Canis lupus familiaris: one gene and its partners. The protein of the gene in region 3 binds, or shares a complex with, the protein of the main gene of each other region. Links are inferred from orthologs where the notes say so. Each region holds a gene or a part of one and is shown on either strand. Other genes may lie near its edges.

Region 1 (4,012 bases), on a different chromosome or scaffold from region 3:
ACTTGCGCTTTGCCACTGCAGAGACAATGAGGCCACAACGTGGGAGGTCAAAGACAAGGCTCAGGGAGTATGGTTCCTCAGCCCTCTCTGGTTCACTGCCCCATCTCTGAAAGACCCCAAGAACACTCACAGATTGTCAGCTTCTCCAGCTTGGCAAATGTGTTGCTGAGGTCTTTCCCAATGCGCCTGGAAATGAGCATTAGTGAGGGCACCACAGGGATGGGAAGGACAGGGCCTATTCCCCCATTAGCGCCAGCTTAACCAATGCAGCCCTTCCTCCCTCATACCAAGGGCACTGAAGGCAAGCCTACGCCTCTCCAAACTCTGCATCATCCCACAACATAACTTCTCTCAACTTACTTGGCCATGAGGGTAAATTCGCTACGCTGCCGGACAGCACGCAGAGCTGGCTTATTTGTCTGGATTCCATTCTGAAATGCAACATGAAGAGGTAAAGGTTTAGTGCCCCCTCACTTCCAGCTGCCACTGTTCCTCAAGCGTCCAACTCAATTATCTCTAGTACCCTCACCAGGTAGTCTAATCTTATCAGTAGCAGTCATTTAGAACTCAGATTTGAACATGGGTAGACCAAGGTTCAAATCTTGACTCCACCATTTATCAGCTGGGAGGTTTGGGGTAAGTGCCTTAAACCATTCTGAATCTCTTTTCCTTTTGTATAAGATGAAGAAAATCCACACACCTATTCTTGTTGGTAAGATCACACAACATAGGACTATAGAGTATTTTAGTCAGATACCCCATACGTTGTAAGCCCTAAATAAGTGATAAGCACTATTGCCATTCTATTCCTCCAATCAGGAAATCAAAGAGGATAACTAGAAAGCTCTTGGAGATCATACGGAAGAGCGGCTGTTAAGTGCTGAGCAATAAAAATATCTAAAATTACTAAAGTAATTATCTATTATCTAAAGTCACTCAGGTCCCACTTTGATTAGGACGTCTGGACTGAAAAAAGGGAATCTAATTAAAAAAAAAAAAAAGCACTCTAAAGTAATTTTGATAAAAATTACTTATTGAGAAAGCTCTTTTCATTCTATAGATATAAAAACCGAGGCCCAGGGGTGCCTGGTGGCTCAGTTGGCTAAGCCTCTGACTCCTGCTCTCAGTTCCAGTCTTGATCTCCAGGTCAGGAGTTCAAGCCTTGTGTTGGGCTCGGCACTGGACAGGAGCCTACTTTAAAACAAACAAACAAACAAAACCCCACACACCCAAAAAACCCTGAGGCCCAACTAGACTAACTTCCCTGTGGCCACAGAGCAAACTTATGATGGGACTATTCCAGAACTAGAATTCAAAGTGTCTGTCTCTGAGCTAAAGGCTCTCTCTAGAACCTCTTTCTTATCCAAATCAAATATACCGCAGCCACCTTTCATCCTGAGATACTCCTTCCAGAGTAGCAAGGCTACCCTCTGGGGTAATTTCTCACAAAACAGCGTAAGTCCTTGCTCCTAGACAGCTGATCCACCCCTTTTCTGTTGCTTAGTAGATCCTACTGCCCCCTCTAAGCCAGATCAGTTCTCCATCATGTCAATCAACAGTGCTGGAGCACAGCCTCTCCTAGATTTCAGTAAGGCTCACTCCTGCCTTTCCCACTCCTGGTCCTTACCTGACGGCTCTGCAGGGACTTGCAGGCAGACAGGAACTCCTGGGTCCGATCTCGGCAGGACATGGTGTTGGGAGGGGGAGGGACCAGGGCCACTGGGGGGGGCAGAGGGGCGATGTCGCTGCTGCTACTGCCAGCAGTTGCAGGGGACAGGACCTGTGTCTTTGAGAGACCCAGGTAGACACCCTGATCCGTGTTCTTAGACCCGTAGCGTTTCCGCGGGATCATTGAGACGCATAACCTCGGACTGTTGTGGAGGGCAGAGTGTCATTCCCCAGGTGGCCTCCTTCCCCACAAATCCCCCGTCCCCACCGCAAATCCTTGGGCCCCTTCTGCACTTGGCACGGACTTTCGCGCCCAAAAGCCACCCGCAAATTCTGGGCCCGGCCCACGGCGGCGGGCAGGGCCCCGCTCTCTGGCCCAGCCGGTCCAGCTCCTCAGACTCTTCCAACTTGGCTCGGGCGGCCAGAGCGCGGGGCCGGGGGCCTTGAAGCCGAGACGGGGCCAGAGGCAGGTCCCGGGGCCCCGAGGCTCCAGCCCGCCCTGTGCAACTGCCCTAGGTCCTAACCGGGCCCTCTCGTATCCGCAGATCCCTTCGACTCCTCAGGGAGAAACGGTGACCGGCCTCCTGAGGGGGACACACTTCGGTAGGCGGAGGGGGGGGAAATCTCTGGGTGTTTATTTGAAACAGGAAGTTCCTCCCCCGCCCAAGTCCCGCCTCCTGGGGGACTGCAACCAGTGATTGGCTAATGCCGACGTCTTTCTCAACAGGGGCTTTCCTGATTGGACGGCGAAGTATTCCCTCACCCCGAGCCCGGCCGGCAAGACTAGCCCGCTCGCCCCAGGTTCCCTTCCCCCTTCACGTCACCGCCCCCGGAAAGCCGCTGCCCGGAGCGGACACGGCAGCCAGGCCCCTTCTGGAGCGAGTCCTACCTCCTCTCTGCCGCCTGCCGCCGCCACCACTGCCACAGTCTCCTGGGTGGTCACCGCCTCCTCCCCGAGCGCCGAATCCGCCGAAATCCGACCAAAGACTAGGAGCCGCCACGTCACCCACACGTAGCCCCACCCCCGGTGACGGGAGGGCGGCGCTACGCCTCTCGGAGCCCGGCGACCGAGAGACACGCCCTCCCACCAAACGCCGGAGCGACTCCGCCCTCCCATTGGCTAGGCCGCCCGCGACCCCGCCCCCGAGGAGCCAGGGCCGGAGCCCAGGGGGCTGGGCCAATCTCAGCAGAGGAGCCTTAAAGAGCCCGCAGCCCCTGCGGTGCCCAAAAGCCATCCGCAAAACGGGCAGCAGGGGCGCTTGTACTGGGCAGGTACACGTTAGAAACTTTATTCTCTGGAGGCTGGGGCAGACTGAGAGCAGGGCTGGGGTCACCCCTTCTCCGGCTCCTCCAGGATCCCCTCCTGGTTGCTCTCCTGCAATCCCTGCTTTTGACTCTGGGCGGATTGTCTCTTGCTTGAGCCCCGACGGCTGAACAGGGATAGCCGCCGCCACAGCACAGTGATCAGGAGGCTTTCATTCGACCTCTGATTCCGGTGGTCGGGCGGGCCCATGTGGACCTCTTCAGAGCCTGCGGAGATGATAAAGCCGCTGAGCTCTGCTTTGCCCTCCGGGGTTCAACCTCCTGGGCGGTCCTGTCAGAGCAACCCCTTCTCCCGTTCCCTGGGGCCCGTTGGTGTGTCTTGGGTCCCACCTTCGACTTCCTCCGAGGCCGGCTCATCCGTCTGGAAGTCCTTGTCTTGGCAGCAGCCCATGGCCCCGAGCGGCCCCCAACTCCGTGCCACCCACGCCAACCCACCAGGCTCCCGGGCCTGGCTTTTGTGACGTCAGATATCCTACTGCACCAGTGTAGGGAGCAGCCACCCCTCTTTCCTTTCTCCCATCACAAAAGGCTCAGGGTCATGGCGGGTGTTGAGCTGTTTATTTACAAAGTGAGCATAGGCTCTTCAGGCGCTGGTGGACCCAGGCCGCTGCTTTTTTCTCCGTCTGGTTTGGAGAGCCCCTTGGGTCTGCTCCGAATCAGGGAGCGTCCGCTTGGCAGCTGCCTCCAAGGAGGCCCAAAGTTCATCTGTCTCTGTGTCTTCCGGTGGTGCCTTTTTGGCCTCTTGGGGCTCATCCTGGCAGGGGGAGAAAGGTTAGAGGAGTCAGGGACACAGAAACAGATACACAGGGAAGAAGGATCCAGCTGGGAAATAATCGCTTTTATTTCCTGCTGCCAGACACTATTCCCATCCATGCTATGTCAACCCTCGGCAGTAACCCTATCAGGAATATAACTATTAACACTCCTCAGAGAACTTCAGTAACTTGGCAGACAAGGAGACAGTTCCAGCCACTGTTTTTTTTTTTTTCTCTCCCCAGGGAAATGCTCACACCTGTGTCCT
Region 2 (4,256 bases), on a different chromosome or scaffold from region 3:
ACAGCTAGCTCTCAAGCAGAGGTTACTCCCAGGATAGAGCCTCCTCATTGTCACCCATTCTCCCCATCTCAGTTCTACAGCTACTCACCTGTATTCTGTGCCGCAACTGCTGAAACTTCTCTTTCACTTTAGTATTTAGTTCAGTAAGTGCACTTAATGGTCCTGAACAATCTCGAATATCCTAGGAGACAGTGAAGAGGTGAAGGGGCCTTTCTTGAGGCAAATGACATGAAATGAAACCACCTGTACAGGGGGAGTTGGCTTGAACCACCACTAGGCTGGCCTACTGTCTGTAATTCATCCTGATCTTTGCTGTTTACCTCTGCAACACGAGCAAAAACATTATCGTTTACATTTCTCTCATAACCTCTTTAATTTTGAGCAGGTACTATAATAGCATAAAAAGAAACACAACTGTCCTATTAGTTCCTAAAGTTTAACAAAATGCCACCTAGTCAGTATAAAAGGCTTAAAGCAGATCATATGTCCAACAAGAATGGACATCCAAAAGTGATACAACTTGAAAATCAGGATGCTCAATTCCTGGCATCATATGGCAAGGTTAACTTCGATCATCTATTACAAATCACAGTGTTTACAGACCTGTTCAAGGGTAGATTTAGAATTTGTTTCTGCGCCGGGACACCTGCACCCCGATGTTTATAGCAGCAATGGCCACGATAGCCAAACTGTGGAAGGAGCCTCGGTGTCCAACGAAAGATGAATGGATAAACAAGATGTGGTTTATGTATACAATGGAATATTACTCAGCTATTAGAAATGACAAATACCCACCATTTGCTTCAACGTGGATGGAACTGGAGGGTATCATGCTGAGTGAAGTAAGCCAGTCGGAGAAGGACAAACATTATATGTTCTCATTCATTTGGGGAATATAAATAATAGTGAAAGGGAATATAAGGGAAGGGGGAAGAAATGTGTGGGAAATATCAGAAAGGGAGACAGAACGTAAAGACTGCTAACTCTGGGAAACGAACTAGGGGTGTTGGAAGGGGAGGAGGGCGGGGGGTGGGAGTGAATGGGTGACGGGCACTGGGGGTTATTCTGTATGTTAGTAAATTGAACACCAATAAAAAATAAAAAAATAAAAAAATAAAAAGAATTTGTTTCTGGACATTCAAAATTACTGGGGTCAGATTTTAGAGCAGGCTCTAGAGCCAAAATATGTAGATGCAAACTCCAGCTGCAGCAATTTATTGGCTGGATAACAAAAAGTCACTCTGGTTCTCTGTGCCTCACTTTTCTCATCACATTACCTACCACATAGACCAGGTACGTATGCAAAGTATGTTGCAAAGGAGCTGGAACACAGTAAGAGCACAGTATATCTAGGTATATCATGAGAACCCCAATATCAGAGAGTACAGAAGGGCTTAAGCAATTTAGATTATGTGAAAAGGCAATCTTTTTATATGAATCCTAAATTTATTTTCTTAAAGTCAGCCCAGAAGTTTTGCAATATGTATGAATAAGTGTAGTTGAAGAAGTTTAACAGTTTGCATCAAGTTTTCTCATCTGTTTTCTGGCTTACTCATTAAATCACACTTCCTTGTACCACGATAAAGCACTACTTTGGTTTATTCTGCATCTGGTCTCCATGGAGAGTCCTACTTTCCTTCGCTTTTTGCCACAGCTAGTTGCAAAATCTGAGTCTACATCTAATGCTTAGCAACATTTTTGGAAACGGAGGAAATAACTTGCCTAAAGCCAAAGTTTAGGGGATCCCTGGGTGGCTCAGCGATTTAGCGCCTGCCTTGGGCCCAGGGAGACCCAGGCTCGAGTCCCGCGTCGGGCTCCCTGCATGGAGCCTGCTTCTCCCTCTGCCTGTGTCTCTGCCTCTCTCTCTCTCTGTCATGAATAAATAAATAAAACCTTAAAAAAAATAAAACTACTAATAAAGAGTTTAAAACTCTTGGTTTCTTTTTGCTAAATTCAAGGAACCATTTCTACTTTCCTCTTGCCTAGGCCAAGCAGTTATTGCTCTGCTGCCTTCTACCCTTAAGTGGCTCAAGGCAAGGAGTGTCCGGTACCCCATCTGTTAAACCGAGTTTCAGAGACCCCCTAAGTCCCTCGTCTAGGCCGACTTTCCCTGTCCGGTCGCAGTCTTGCCACCACCTGCCTTCTGATTCAGGCCTTGGCATTTTAGCCTTTTTCCTCATTTACAAAGTCGCAGCTACTATCTAGGTGGCCGGGGGCCTCCCGCACGACGGGGCCCTTGGTGCCCTGGGGCACCTCCGCCGGGGCGGCGGCCAGGGGAGGGCGGGGCTCGCGGCCCTCGGGGCGCCACCGAGCGCGGCGGAGGGAGGCGTGAGAAGGCGGGGCCCGTCGGGGCGACAGGTCGTCCCAGTCGACAAGTGTGCGGGGGCGACCCATGTGGCCACAGACCGGAAGCCTGGCCAGGGACGAGGGGACGCGGGAGCGTTCAGAGGAGGGCAAGACAACAGCGCGCGGAGGGAGGATCAACGCCAACGGCCCAGGAGACGGGACCAGAGGGGGCCGCCAGGGGGTAGCGGGCCGTGGGGCGGGACCAGCGACCTCCCAGACTTGAGACCGCCGAGCTCACAGGAGGCCGGTGGAGCCTGGGTTCAGGGCTACAGGGCCCGGCAGCCGTCCCGGGAATTAGTACCTGGATAAGCGCCTTCACCTCCAGGTCGAACTTGACGATCTCTTGGTTACAGATACGGACGTGGACATCTTGGGGAGCCGCCATGTTGAGGACGCCGGCTACGGGCCGCGGCGGGGCCCAAATTAAACTCGTTTTTGCGTCACCTTCGTTCCGCGTCGGGGCTTTCGGCAGCGCCCTCTAGGGACCAACCTGAGGCGAGCGAGGGTCGAGGCGAGGAGGCCGGAGGACTCGCCTCTGGTGTGGTGGTGGAAGGGAGGTGGGCGGGGGGGGACTGGGCAACACTGCTGGGGGGCACTGGATGGGATGAGCACTGGGTGGTACGCTAGATGTTGGCAAATTGAACTCCAATAAAAATAAATTAAAAAAAAAGAAAAGAAAAGAAGAAGAAGAGAGGGAGTATCGAGAGCGTTTTAACATTGGCCTCTCCCCATCTTTTACCTAAAAGGCATTCTAATGACTACATGTTTTTTGCAGAAGAGAGAGAGAGAGAAAAAAAAAAAGGAAAGTATCAATTGGGATGTCTCTGGAAGGTGGAATTAACAATTTTTTATATCTCTTTAAATTTCCTTATATTTTTCATATGTTGTACAGTGAATATAATTGTGGAGCAAATGAAAAGATGGTAAATGTTATTACTGCTTTTCACGTGTGGAATTCAAGACAGGCCTCTTCCAGCACATGGTCCAAGGGTTCTAAAATCACAACTGATCAAGTCACTTCCCCACCTCCACCTCTTTTGTAGCTCCTGGCACGTGCCTTTTGTGTACAGTTGGATTTATTAAAGCCTACCTTGCTGGAGTAGTTTTGATGGAAATAATTAAGAGCAGACCCTCAACGAACAGTGGCTCCTGCCTTTATTATCAAATAGTCCAAGGCCATCAGCCACCTCACTCCATCGCTCTCCTGGATTCCTCAAGCTGTTTTTGGATCTGTAGCTTTGGAATGTGCTGTTCCCTTTTCTTAGAATGCTTTCCCCCTCTTGCTCCCACCCCATGTGCTTCTGTTCACATCAGCAAGCATAAATTGTTAAGACCTGAATGCCTAGCTGTGTTTTTCTCTTAATCCTTCAACCAGACTTGAAATAGGTAATACCCCAGTTTTACAGATCAGTAGATGGACCAAGAGTAGATCAAAGCGAAATAAATCAAAACTGAACGTCCCTGCCCCAAAGTTACATAACTTGAAAGTGGCAGAGCCTTCACTAAAAGCCACGTCTTCCCTCAAAAACCAAATATGGCCCCTTGGGTATAGTGTCGTACACAGGGGGCTATGTGCTTGCCTATCTGTGTTTCTCCACTGCTCCACACACCATCCGTTAAGGCGTTCATCACCCCACTGCACCTAATAGGCAATGTATTGCAGGCCTTAGAGTCAACCCTGCTTGAATCCTGCTGGAGGACCCACTTCACAGCTCTGCCCCTCAGAATTCTGAGGCTAACTGGTAGAGTCACAGAGGTGGAGGATTAAATGAGGTAGTACATGAAAAGCACCAAGCACAGTGTAGTCATGTGGCATGTGTTTAAGAACTCAATGTGCATTAGCTGCTATGACATTACTGACATTTTTTGGAGCACTTCCTATGTGCCAGGCACTTTGTACTAAGTTCTTA
Region 3 (4,179 bases):
TTTATTTATTTATTCACAGAGGCCTTTAAATCTTTATTCCAATGTCACCTTCTGAATGAAGTTTTCTCTACCTTATTAAAACTGCAACCTGCCTTCTCCCGTCACTCTCAATCCTCTTCTCCTCAGTTTTTCCCTTAATACTTAACTACCGTCTGGGCAGCCCGGGTGGCTCAGTGGTTTGGCGCCGCCTTTGGCCCAGGGTGTGATCCTGGGGACCTGGGATCGAGTCCCATGTTGGGCTCCCTGCATGGAGCCTGCTTCTCCCTCTGCCTGTGTTTCTGCCTTTCTCTCTCTGTCTCTTATGAATAAATAAATTAAAAAAAACCCTACGTTCTAAAATAGTGGGCATATTTATTATGGTGTGTGTCTCGCCCCACCAGAACATAAGTTCCATGAAGATTGGGCTCTTTGGTTCACTGCTGCATCCTAAACAGCTAGAAAAGGGCCTAGCACACAGTAGGCACTCAATAAATACCTTTGAATGCTTGCTGAACACCAGCCTTGCAGCTTAGACTAAAGGTATGCCTGGAGGTCAGCCCATTGCCCAGCTCTTACAGGTCCGGCTGGACCCTCAGCCTCTCACACCAATGACTACCACAGTTTCCCCCTGAAACATCCTCTTATCTTGTCCATTCTCTTGCTTCCTTCAATGTGCTCATTCCTTGGAGTTCCTTCCTTAGAGACATATTTGCTCTCCTGCCTTCACCACATCATTGTAAGATACCCAAACTGCCCTATCTTCAATCCAGGGTACTTTCTGGGCCCACCTACACCAACTCTGACCTCCAGGAACTCCAAATTACTCCTCCCTGGGCACCCAGACAAGGGCAGTTAGATCGCCTCAAATCTCCTCACTAAGATGTTGATTCAGTGACCTTCTCCCTCCAGGGAAGTTCCTCTTCTTGATTTCTTGAATTCTGCCCATGGGGCAGAGGATGACCCTGTCATATGGGCAGGAAAGCTCCCTGTCATTTATGACCTTTCCCTCTTCTTCCCTGGGCGGGGTTATTAGCTACCACACCCTACCTGAGTAATGTCTTTGTCATCTAGTCAAGCTTGACTCACCATGTTGGTTTCTAGAAAGCATGCCTTCCACAACCAAGCCCAGATCACATCTGGGGATTCAGCAACTTCTCATGAATGGAGAAGGCGACAGGATGTTAGGTGGATTGGGAGTCAGGAGACTTTGGGTGAGATTTTTTTTCTCTCAGCCTCAGTTTCCCCACTTGAAAATCATTAGGTTGGACTTGATGATCTCTAAGGGCCCTTTCCCCTTACTTTTGCCACCTAATGGTCTATGAAACCCTGCAAAATGTCTTAGTTCTGGGAATAATAAACCCACCTGGGTTTTTCTCATCCTCGTGTTGACTGAGTTATAATTCTCATCAGCTTCTTCATTCTGGGGCTCTATGGCTGTGGGAAGACACAAGGGGATTGGTGGGGAAGGAGATTTGATCTGTGTGGCTTCAGAAAATCATGTGGGAACCAGGACACAGGGCCAGGGCCATACCCCATCCATACAATAGAGAGGTGCTTATCTCCACAGAATTATTTTGGGAATTATATTTTATCATAAATGACTAATTATGAGCCTCTGACGGTAGCTCAAGTGTATTTTTCTTTGCAATACTGAGCCACACAGTCCCCAGATATACCAGGAGCTGGGCAGGACCACAGGGAAGGGTCTGTCTGAGGTCCTAGGGGCTCACCCTTCAGCTGTGCTCGGATCTCCCTCCCCAGCTGTTTGATCTCCTCACGCAGGTTCTGCAGGTCCTGCTTCATACCTGAAGAAGAGAAAGCCATGACTCCCAGACAGCGGCTCCTACCTCAAACCAACCTGCCTGGCCACCACCTGCACGGAACTACAATCCCCACAATCCCTCTGGCTGAGCATGCGTTTGCACTTGGGGTTTCACTCACTCTCCTCGGGAAGGGGCGTGGCCAGGATGGTGACCTGCTGCTTCTCCAACTCCCGGACTTTATTCTCCAGCTTGACAATAGTCTGTCGAATTGTCCGGACCTGGGGAAGGTGACCGAGAGGGCTGAGGGAGATGGGGGATACTCCGGACCGCGCTGCTCCTCGGATCATCCAGCCCCCTCATGAAGACAGGCGGAGACCCCAGCCTCTTACCTTTTGGAAGAACTCCTCGTCCGGGCTCCCCAGCCGTGCCGTGCCCGGGTGTACCACCAGCGCGACCCGCTCCTTGTCCTCATCGTCCGAACTGTCATCCCCCTGCCACGGCCGGGGTGGTCACTGGCATCACTTCCCTGCGGTTGCTCTCTCCCCGCAGGACTCACAGACTTCCGGGTCTTTCCTTCCTAGCCCTCAGCCACCCCTCCCTGTCCCGAAGACCGGGAGTCCTGTATGCCAGCCAGACCCCAGCCCGTCCGCCCACCCCCAGCCCTGCAGCCCCCTCTCACCTGTCTCAGTTCGTGGGTCCGGTCGCGCATGGCGGCCCGAGCTCCCTCTTCCCGGCGCCGGAGCCCCGAGGGCCTCGAGACTAAGTTTGGAACTCCCGTACCCCACTCACACTCTGACACTGACACTTCCCTCCGCCCTCACCCTGCGGACCCCCGGGCCCCCCCACGAGCCACCAGAGGCTCCGTCCCGGGCACCATCCACAGTCAGTGGGAAGCAGCCGACCCCGGGGACCCCCCAAGATTCCACAGGTTGGAATTCCCTTTTCTTCCCCCCCTCCCGTCCCCGTAGCCTCGGCCCCGCCCCTCTGGGATGATCGGGGCATGCGCACGGGGTCGCGTCTCTTCCTCGCCGGAGGGAGCCTGAGGTCGGAAGCTGCGGCGCCCCGAACGGAAGCAAAGCTGCCAGGACGTGAGAACCCGCCCCCTTCGCCGGAACTGTCGCATCTACCAACGGAAATCTAGTTGCCAGACCGGGTGGGAGTGCGTCATTGATACGTAATCTCAGAGGCCCTGCATCTCACATCACCCCATGGTGCCCCCCCCACGTCACATGACCAGCCCGGTCCCACCCTCGCGGACCTCGGAACGTGACACTTTGATTGTCACGTGCCCCGGCGCTGTCAACTCCGTCTCTGGAGCACCTTTCTCCCCACGACGTCTCCGGGACCCTGGCGCCCAAGCTACGCCCCTCCAGCCTTCGCGAGGCGGGGCGGGGGCTGCTGACTACCCCCAGAGACCGTTTGAGGCAGTGGGTGGTAGGACCCTCGCTGAATTCGGCTTCATTTTCTTTTGGGTCCAGGGACGTGGGCAGACGGAGAACTTAGAATTCGGGGCTGTCAGCATCATGGGACCTTGAGATTCAGAAAATAATAAGATCCAGCGTCAGAGAATTGCAGGGTTTTGTAGGCAGAGAATCTGGGGGTGGAAAGTGACCTCACCCAAGGCAGAAATCTCTCCTCCCGCATCCTCCTGGCGCAGCCTCTGACAGGTGGGCGGCTGGCGCCCTGCATGAACACTGCAGTTCCGCCGCACTCACCACCTTCCGAGCATAAGACCATTTCAGGGCAACTAAAGCTGAGAAAAGTGTCTGTATTACATTGAGGAGTCTGCCACTTAACATCTAACTCCCTCCCTCCCTAGCATCTGGGTCTACCCTCTGAAGCCCGCAAAAAAATCTGCACACATTCCCCATTATAGTGGACCGTGGGCTCTTGAGGTCAGGGCGCCGCAGTCTTGTTCTTACCTGAATCCCCAGGGCCTATTTCAGTACCTATCACATATGGGCCCTCAATAAATATCTGTGGACAGAACTTTAACCTTTCATGTATCTGAAGATAAAGCTTGTCTTTTGGGCTTCAGCCTCTCACGGTGACACTGCCCTAGCCCACTAGATGGTCATTCATTCAATGGATATCCATTTATTGGGCACTTATTATGGCCAGAGACTGTTGTAGGGGTCGGAGATAAATCAAGGCCTAACTGACAAAAACCTTTCACTTGTGAAACTTACATTATGTGAGAGCAGTCTCCAAGGCCACAAAGTGAGTCTCAGCATAGCCAGAATAAAAATCAGGTCTCCTGGATCCCAGGACTCTTTCCAGAGAACTTACATGAAGGTTCAAGCAAAAGAAAGACTGGCCCCTCTCTAGTATGTCCTGGTAAGGAAATCTGTATTGTGATCAACTCTGTGATTGAGTTGCTATGGATTTCTGGAAAGTCATGTCTTTGTCTCTGGGCCTCAGTATCCCATCTGTAGGA
Region 4 (4,184 bases), on a different chromosome or scaffold from region 3:
CGCGCCGCCCGCCGCCCGCCGCCCGCAGCCCGCAGGCCCGGGTCCGCACACGCGAGCCCCGCCCGGCCCACCTCTTCCGTGCAAGCACGTTCACGGCTCGCGCTCACCTCCCGGTTGTACGTGCGCAGAGCCTCCATGATCACGTCCTCCTCGCCCGCTTCCACGGCATCCGCAACCACCCGGGGATCCATGGCGCCTCCGGGATCCCGCGCCGAGCCGGCGGGAAGGGGAGCTGCTTCCCGGCTCCGGGCGGAGTTCCGCCGCTCCGCCCCGACTGGGCGCGCGGGGCAGGCCGGGACTGGGAGCGCGCGGGGCGGGGCGGGGCGGGGCGGGGCCAGGGCTGCGCGCGGGGCAGGCCGGGACTGGGAGCGCGCGGGGCGGGGCCAGGGCTGCGCGCGCGGCATGCCGGGACTGGGAGCGCGCGCCGCGGGGCGGGGCCAGGGCTGTAGGTTCATTAAGGGGGCGAGACCTGGATCAGCTGGCTGGGACTTGAGTGTTTTGCCGGGGAGTGAGCGCGAGTTTCAAAGGTCCTACTAGGTGATTTTTCGACCTCGGAGCTGAGCGGCCTCCGAAGCTAACGGGGACCCACTCACCTTCCCACGCACGCCCCCCTAGATGCCTAGCACCAGTGCAAGTCCGGGGGAAAAGCGAAGTGGGAAGGACTTTGCGGCCCCGGGACCCGCCGACCGCTGGTTCCCGGCCCTCTGGGAGCGTGAGCTCGCACGTGAGGGCAAGGAGCCACGGGCAGCGGTCTCAGCGCTGTGGCGAATAAAGTGGGCTGCAAAGGGATGTGCGGAAGTAGCATTTCTGCTGAGGCCGGACGATAAGAAGGGATCCGGGGGAAGGTCGTTCGGTGGCCGCGGCGGGGACGCAAACATGTCCCTGAGCTCCAGGGGAGGGCGGGGAGGGTCAGGATCACCGGCAGCCACGTCCCAGGTGTGTGGCCTGGACTGAGCTCCCTCTCCCGTGTGTGTGGTCGCAGCGGTGCCCGCCGTGCAGCCAGCCTTTGTGGGCCGCCTCCGTTCCCGCGGCGCCGGGACCAAGGCAAGAGGCACCGGCCGCTACGGCCTCTGCTGCCCCCACACTCCCGGCCCCCGTCTGGCTTCGCTTCCCTTCGGAGTGCGTCACCCTTGCGTCTTCCAGGCCCTGGCCTCCACCGCGTCCCCTCGGCAACGCCTGGGGCGGGGACCCGCGGCGACCCCAGCAGCCAGGCCCGCGGGGGAAAGCGGGGACGCCCGGAGCGGGACCCGGCCCCGCCCTCCGCGCCATTGGCCGCTGGCGGCGTCTGTCACGCGTCCTCGGCACTTAAGGCCCGCCCCCCTAGTCCGGAAGTCGGCCGGACGTCGGCCGGAAGTCGGCGGGCAGAGCGGAAGCGGCGGGGTCCCGGTCCTCCCCGGTTGCGCCACGTCCGCTGAGGCGGTGGCTGGGCCGCTGGCGGGGCGGGGCCGGGGACGGGGCCGGGGGCGGGCGCCATGGCGGACTGGGCGCGGGGTGAGCGGCGGGTTGGGGTCGGGGGGCCGCGGCTGCTCCGCCCGGGGCCTCCGGCGGGCGGGCCCCTCGCGTGCCCCAGAGCCCCTGGTCTCCCCGGGAGGGGCGGCAGGAGCCGAGGGCGGGCGGCGGGACGCTGACAGCCCGCCTCGGCCTTCGTGCGCACCCGGGCCCGCCATCGGGGCGTCCGGCCCGCCGCACGTCCGCGCCCCGAGCCCGGGCGGTGGCCGACGGTCGGGGTCGCCCCGGGCCGCGCGGGGTGCGGGGGCCTCGGGCCTGCGCTGCTCAGCCTTGGCTGCCGGCCGACCTGCGGGGCCGCCGCGCCCGCGCCAGTGCTGCTCCGAGCGGCCCCGCCGGGTGACTGCCTCCCAGCGCGGGCCCACCCCCGGGCGCCGTCCTCCGCGGGCTGTCCGCGCTCGCGCCCCGGCCCCGGCCGCGGCCCCTGGCTTGTCCGCAGGACGGAGGGAGCCCCGGGGCAGCGCGGGGGCCGAGCAGGGGCCGCGGCCCCCCTCACCGGGGCCTCCGCGCCTGCGGTCCTAGGCTCAGACTGTCCCTTCTCGCAGCCCAGAGCCCCGCGGCCGTGGAGGAGATTCTAGACCGGGAGAACAAGCGGATGGCCGACAGCTTGGCCTCCAAGGTCACCAGGCTTAAGTCGGTCAGTGCGGTCCTCCCTGCGAGCGGGGACAGGAGGGCAGAGGCTGGGGAGGGTCCCGGGCTTCCTCGGGGCGCTGGTGTCTGAGGCCCGGGGAGGCCCGGCCTGATCCCGCCGGCGGGTGTTGGCGGGTCCGCTGGCCTCGCGGGCGGGACCCACCGAGTCTTTCTGGCCTGACCTTGCCCCCCGCCCCGCGTTCTGAGCAGCTGGCCCTGGACATCGACAGGGACGCAGAAGACCAGAACCGGTACCTGGACAGCATGGTAAGGGGCTCCGTCGGCGCGGGGCGCGGGCCGCTCGGGCAGGCCCTGGTGGCGCTGCGGCACCTGCGTGGCAGTCGTGGAGGCGCCGCCCTGTGTGACCTTGCTGGGATTCCTCCCTCAGGACTCGGATTTCACTAGCATGACAGGCCTGCTCACGGGGAGCGTGAAGCGCTTTTCCACCATGGCGAGGTCCGGGCGAGACAACCGGAAGCTTCTGTGTGGCATGGCCCTGGGCCTGATCGTGGTCTTCTTCATCCTCTCCTACCTTCTGTCAAGGGCAAGGACGTGAGCCACCAGAAGCCGACTTCTGTGGGTGCAGGGGCAACCAGGGTCTTCCCCCGCCTGGTGGCCTAGGCTCCTGAGGACCTACCTGCAAAATACTCCTTTGAAAGGGGGATCCCGGCCTGGGAGTTTTCTTGCTGTGTGCCTGGGAGTTGACGGCTGCCTGCGCCCAAGTGAGCTCCTGTTGGCTGGTCCCATGCAGTGCAGCTCCTTCCCTTGGGGACACCAAGCCCCAGCCCCTGTGCTACTCGGGGTGTGGAGGCCCTGGCAGAGCTGGGTGTGAATCCTCGACGTGGCCACCTGTGGCCAGCAGCCCTTCCTTGTCCCCTGGGGCTTCGACGTCTTGAGGCTTTGGGTAAGGTCACGTCCGATACGTGAGCAGCCTGGAGCTGACACAGGAAGGGGGTTCGGTTATGAACTTTGAGCACCATCTGCTCTGTTCAGAGGAGCAGCTACTCGGTAGGGCTGCTGAACATGGGCAGGTCTGCGCCAGGGGTTCCGCCCCGAGGTCACGTCTGCCCCCCAGACCCTCGGAGAAGGGCAGGGGGTTGTGGATGAAGAAGTGGACTTCAACCTTGGCCAGAGGCACTGGGCCCTGATCCTTCTGGATCCACAGTCTTGTATTCAGGAGCAGGAACTCAGGATCTACCTAACACCAAAGACGTATTTCTGGGAGACCAGAGATGGGAGCTCTAGAAGGGTTTCTGTCTGTGTGTTTGGGGTGGGGGTGCAGCACCTCTGTGGTCAAGACGAGAGGGCTCCCTAACAAGTTTTATAAGACCCAGGGGTCACCGGGCAGCTTCCCCTCCACCATGTGAGGCCTTTCAGCAGTGAGTATTCCCTGAATAAGGGGACTCTTCATCATTGCCTCATCCCTGGCCTCTCTTTGAGCCCTCACTGCCCGCTTGGCCAGCCCCATGTTCACACAAACCACAAAGTGCAGGCCCAGCTGGGCGTCCGCACCCTCGTATGTGCATGAAGACACATAAGAAATGATTTGCTAGCTGTGTCCTCCCCGGTTCCTTCCCCTATATTCCGATCCTCTGCCAGCCCAGTCGCTCCCCCTTCCTCCCAGAGGACAACTTGGTTTGCTGTCCGCCCATTCCCCCCCTCATCCCGTGGGTGATCACACGTGCGCCGACCACACATCAGCTCCGTTCTCTGGCCCTGGGCGCCTCCCCTTCAGCACTGCCGCTGCTCTGTGTTCTCCTTGCCTCCCTCCCCTCTCTTGCCCTTGTCCCTGCAGCAAGTTTGGCACGTGGTCATCATAGCTTCCTTATCTCCTGCACAGCAGCTATTGGGCTGCTCGGCCTCATCTTCTGAGTGCCCTTAGCCTCCAGATGCTAGTTGCTCATCCAGGGAGGTCAGCTGGCCTCCCTGCCTGTGGAGCTTTGCTGTGTCCCTGACTCGACGTTCCCTCTCGGGCCCTGTGGTCTTTCCTCCGCAGTCGCCACGTACACACCGTGGATCTGAGTTAGCTCTCTGGTGGTCTCCTGCTA

What was found. Proteins that work in one complex are often made in the same cells at the same time.
Region 1: STX4 (region 3) and STX5 share a complex: the UniProt entries of both Homo sapiens proteins name them as parts of the SNARE complex. The link is inferred for Canis lupus familiaris from reciprocal best matches to the Homo sapiens genes STX4 and STX5.
Region 2: STX4 (region 3) and BNIP1 share a complex: the UniProt entries of both Homo sapiens proteins name them as parts of the SNARE complex. The link is inferred for Canis lupus familiaris from reciprocal best matches to the Homo sapiens genes STX4 and BNIP1.
Region 4: STX4 (region 3) and BET1L share a complex: the UniProt entries of both Homo sapiens proteins name them as parts of the SNARE complex. The link is inferred for Canis lupus familiaris from reciprocal best matches to the Homo sapiens genes STX4 and BET1L.

The regions. Positions count from the first base shown.
Region 1 is NC_049239.1:54,381,025-54,385,036, reverse strand, and holds the start of STX5 (syntaxin-5), read right to left. Parts: upstream 2,801-4,012; 5' UTR 2,786-2,800; coding exon 2,558-2,785; intron 2,348-2,557; exon of another isoform or gene 2,193-2,347; intron 1,872-2,192; exon of another isoform or gene 1,853-1,871; coding exon of another isoform or gene 1,628-1,852; intron 432-1,627; coding exon 361-431; intron 187-360; coding exon 131-186; intron 16-130; coding exon 1-15. Other genes in the region: testis-expressed protein 54-like, read right to left, coding at 2,999-3,198, 3,322-3,382; WDR74 (WD repeat-containing protein 74), read right to left, coding at 3,575-3,745. UniProt on the Homo sapiens protein: Mediates endoplasmic reticulum to Golgi transport.
Region 2 is NC_049225.1:40,187,212-40,191,467, forward strand, and holds the start of BNIP1 (vesicle transport protein SEC20), read right to left. Parts: upstream 2,801-4,256; 5' UTR 2,732-2,800; coding exon 2,648-2,731; intron 182-2,647; coding exon 89-181; intron 1-88. UniProt on the Homo sapiens protein: As part of a SNARE complex may be involved in endoplasmic reticulum membranes fusion and be required for the maintenance of endoplasmic reticulum organization. Also plays a role in apoptosis.
Region 3 is NC_049227.1:17,349,086-17,353,264, forward strand, and holds the start of STX4 (syntaxin-4), read right to left. Parts: upstream 2,801-4,179; 5' UTR 2,452-2,800; coding exon 2,422-2,451; intron 2,234-2,421; coding exon 2,132-2,233; intron 2,021-2,131; coding exon 1,921-2,020; intron 1,785-1,920; coding exon 1,710-1,784; intron 1,414-1,709; coding exon 1,343-1,413; intron 1-1,342. UniProt on the Homo sapiens protein: Plasma membrane t-SNARE that mediates docking of transport vesicles. Necessary for the translocation of SLC2A4 from intracellular vesicles to the plasma membrane.
Region 4 is NC_049239.1:25,711,331-25,715,514, reverse strand, and holds the start of BET1L (BET1-like protein), read left to right. Parts: upstream 1-1,384; 5' UTR 1,385-1,472; coding exon 1,473-1,491; intron 1,492-2,051; coding exon 2,052-2,143; intron 2,144-2,346; coding exon 2,347-2,403; intron 2,404-2,524; coding exon 2,525-2,692; 3' UTR 2,693-4,184. Other genes in the region: RIC8A (synembryn-A), read right to left, coding at 108-191. UniProt on the Homo sapiens protein: Vesicle SNARE required for targeting and fusion of retrograde transport vesicles with the Golgi complex. Required for the integrity of the Golgi complex.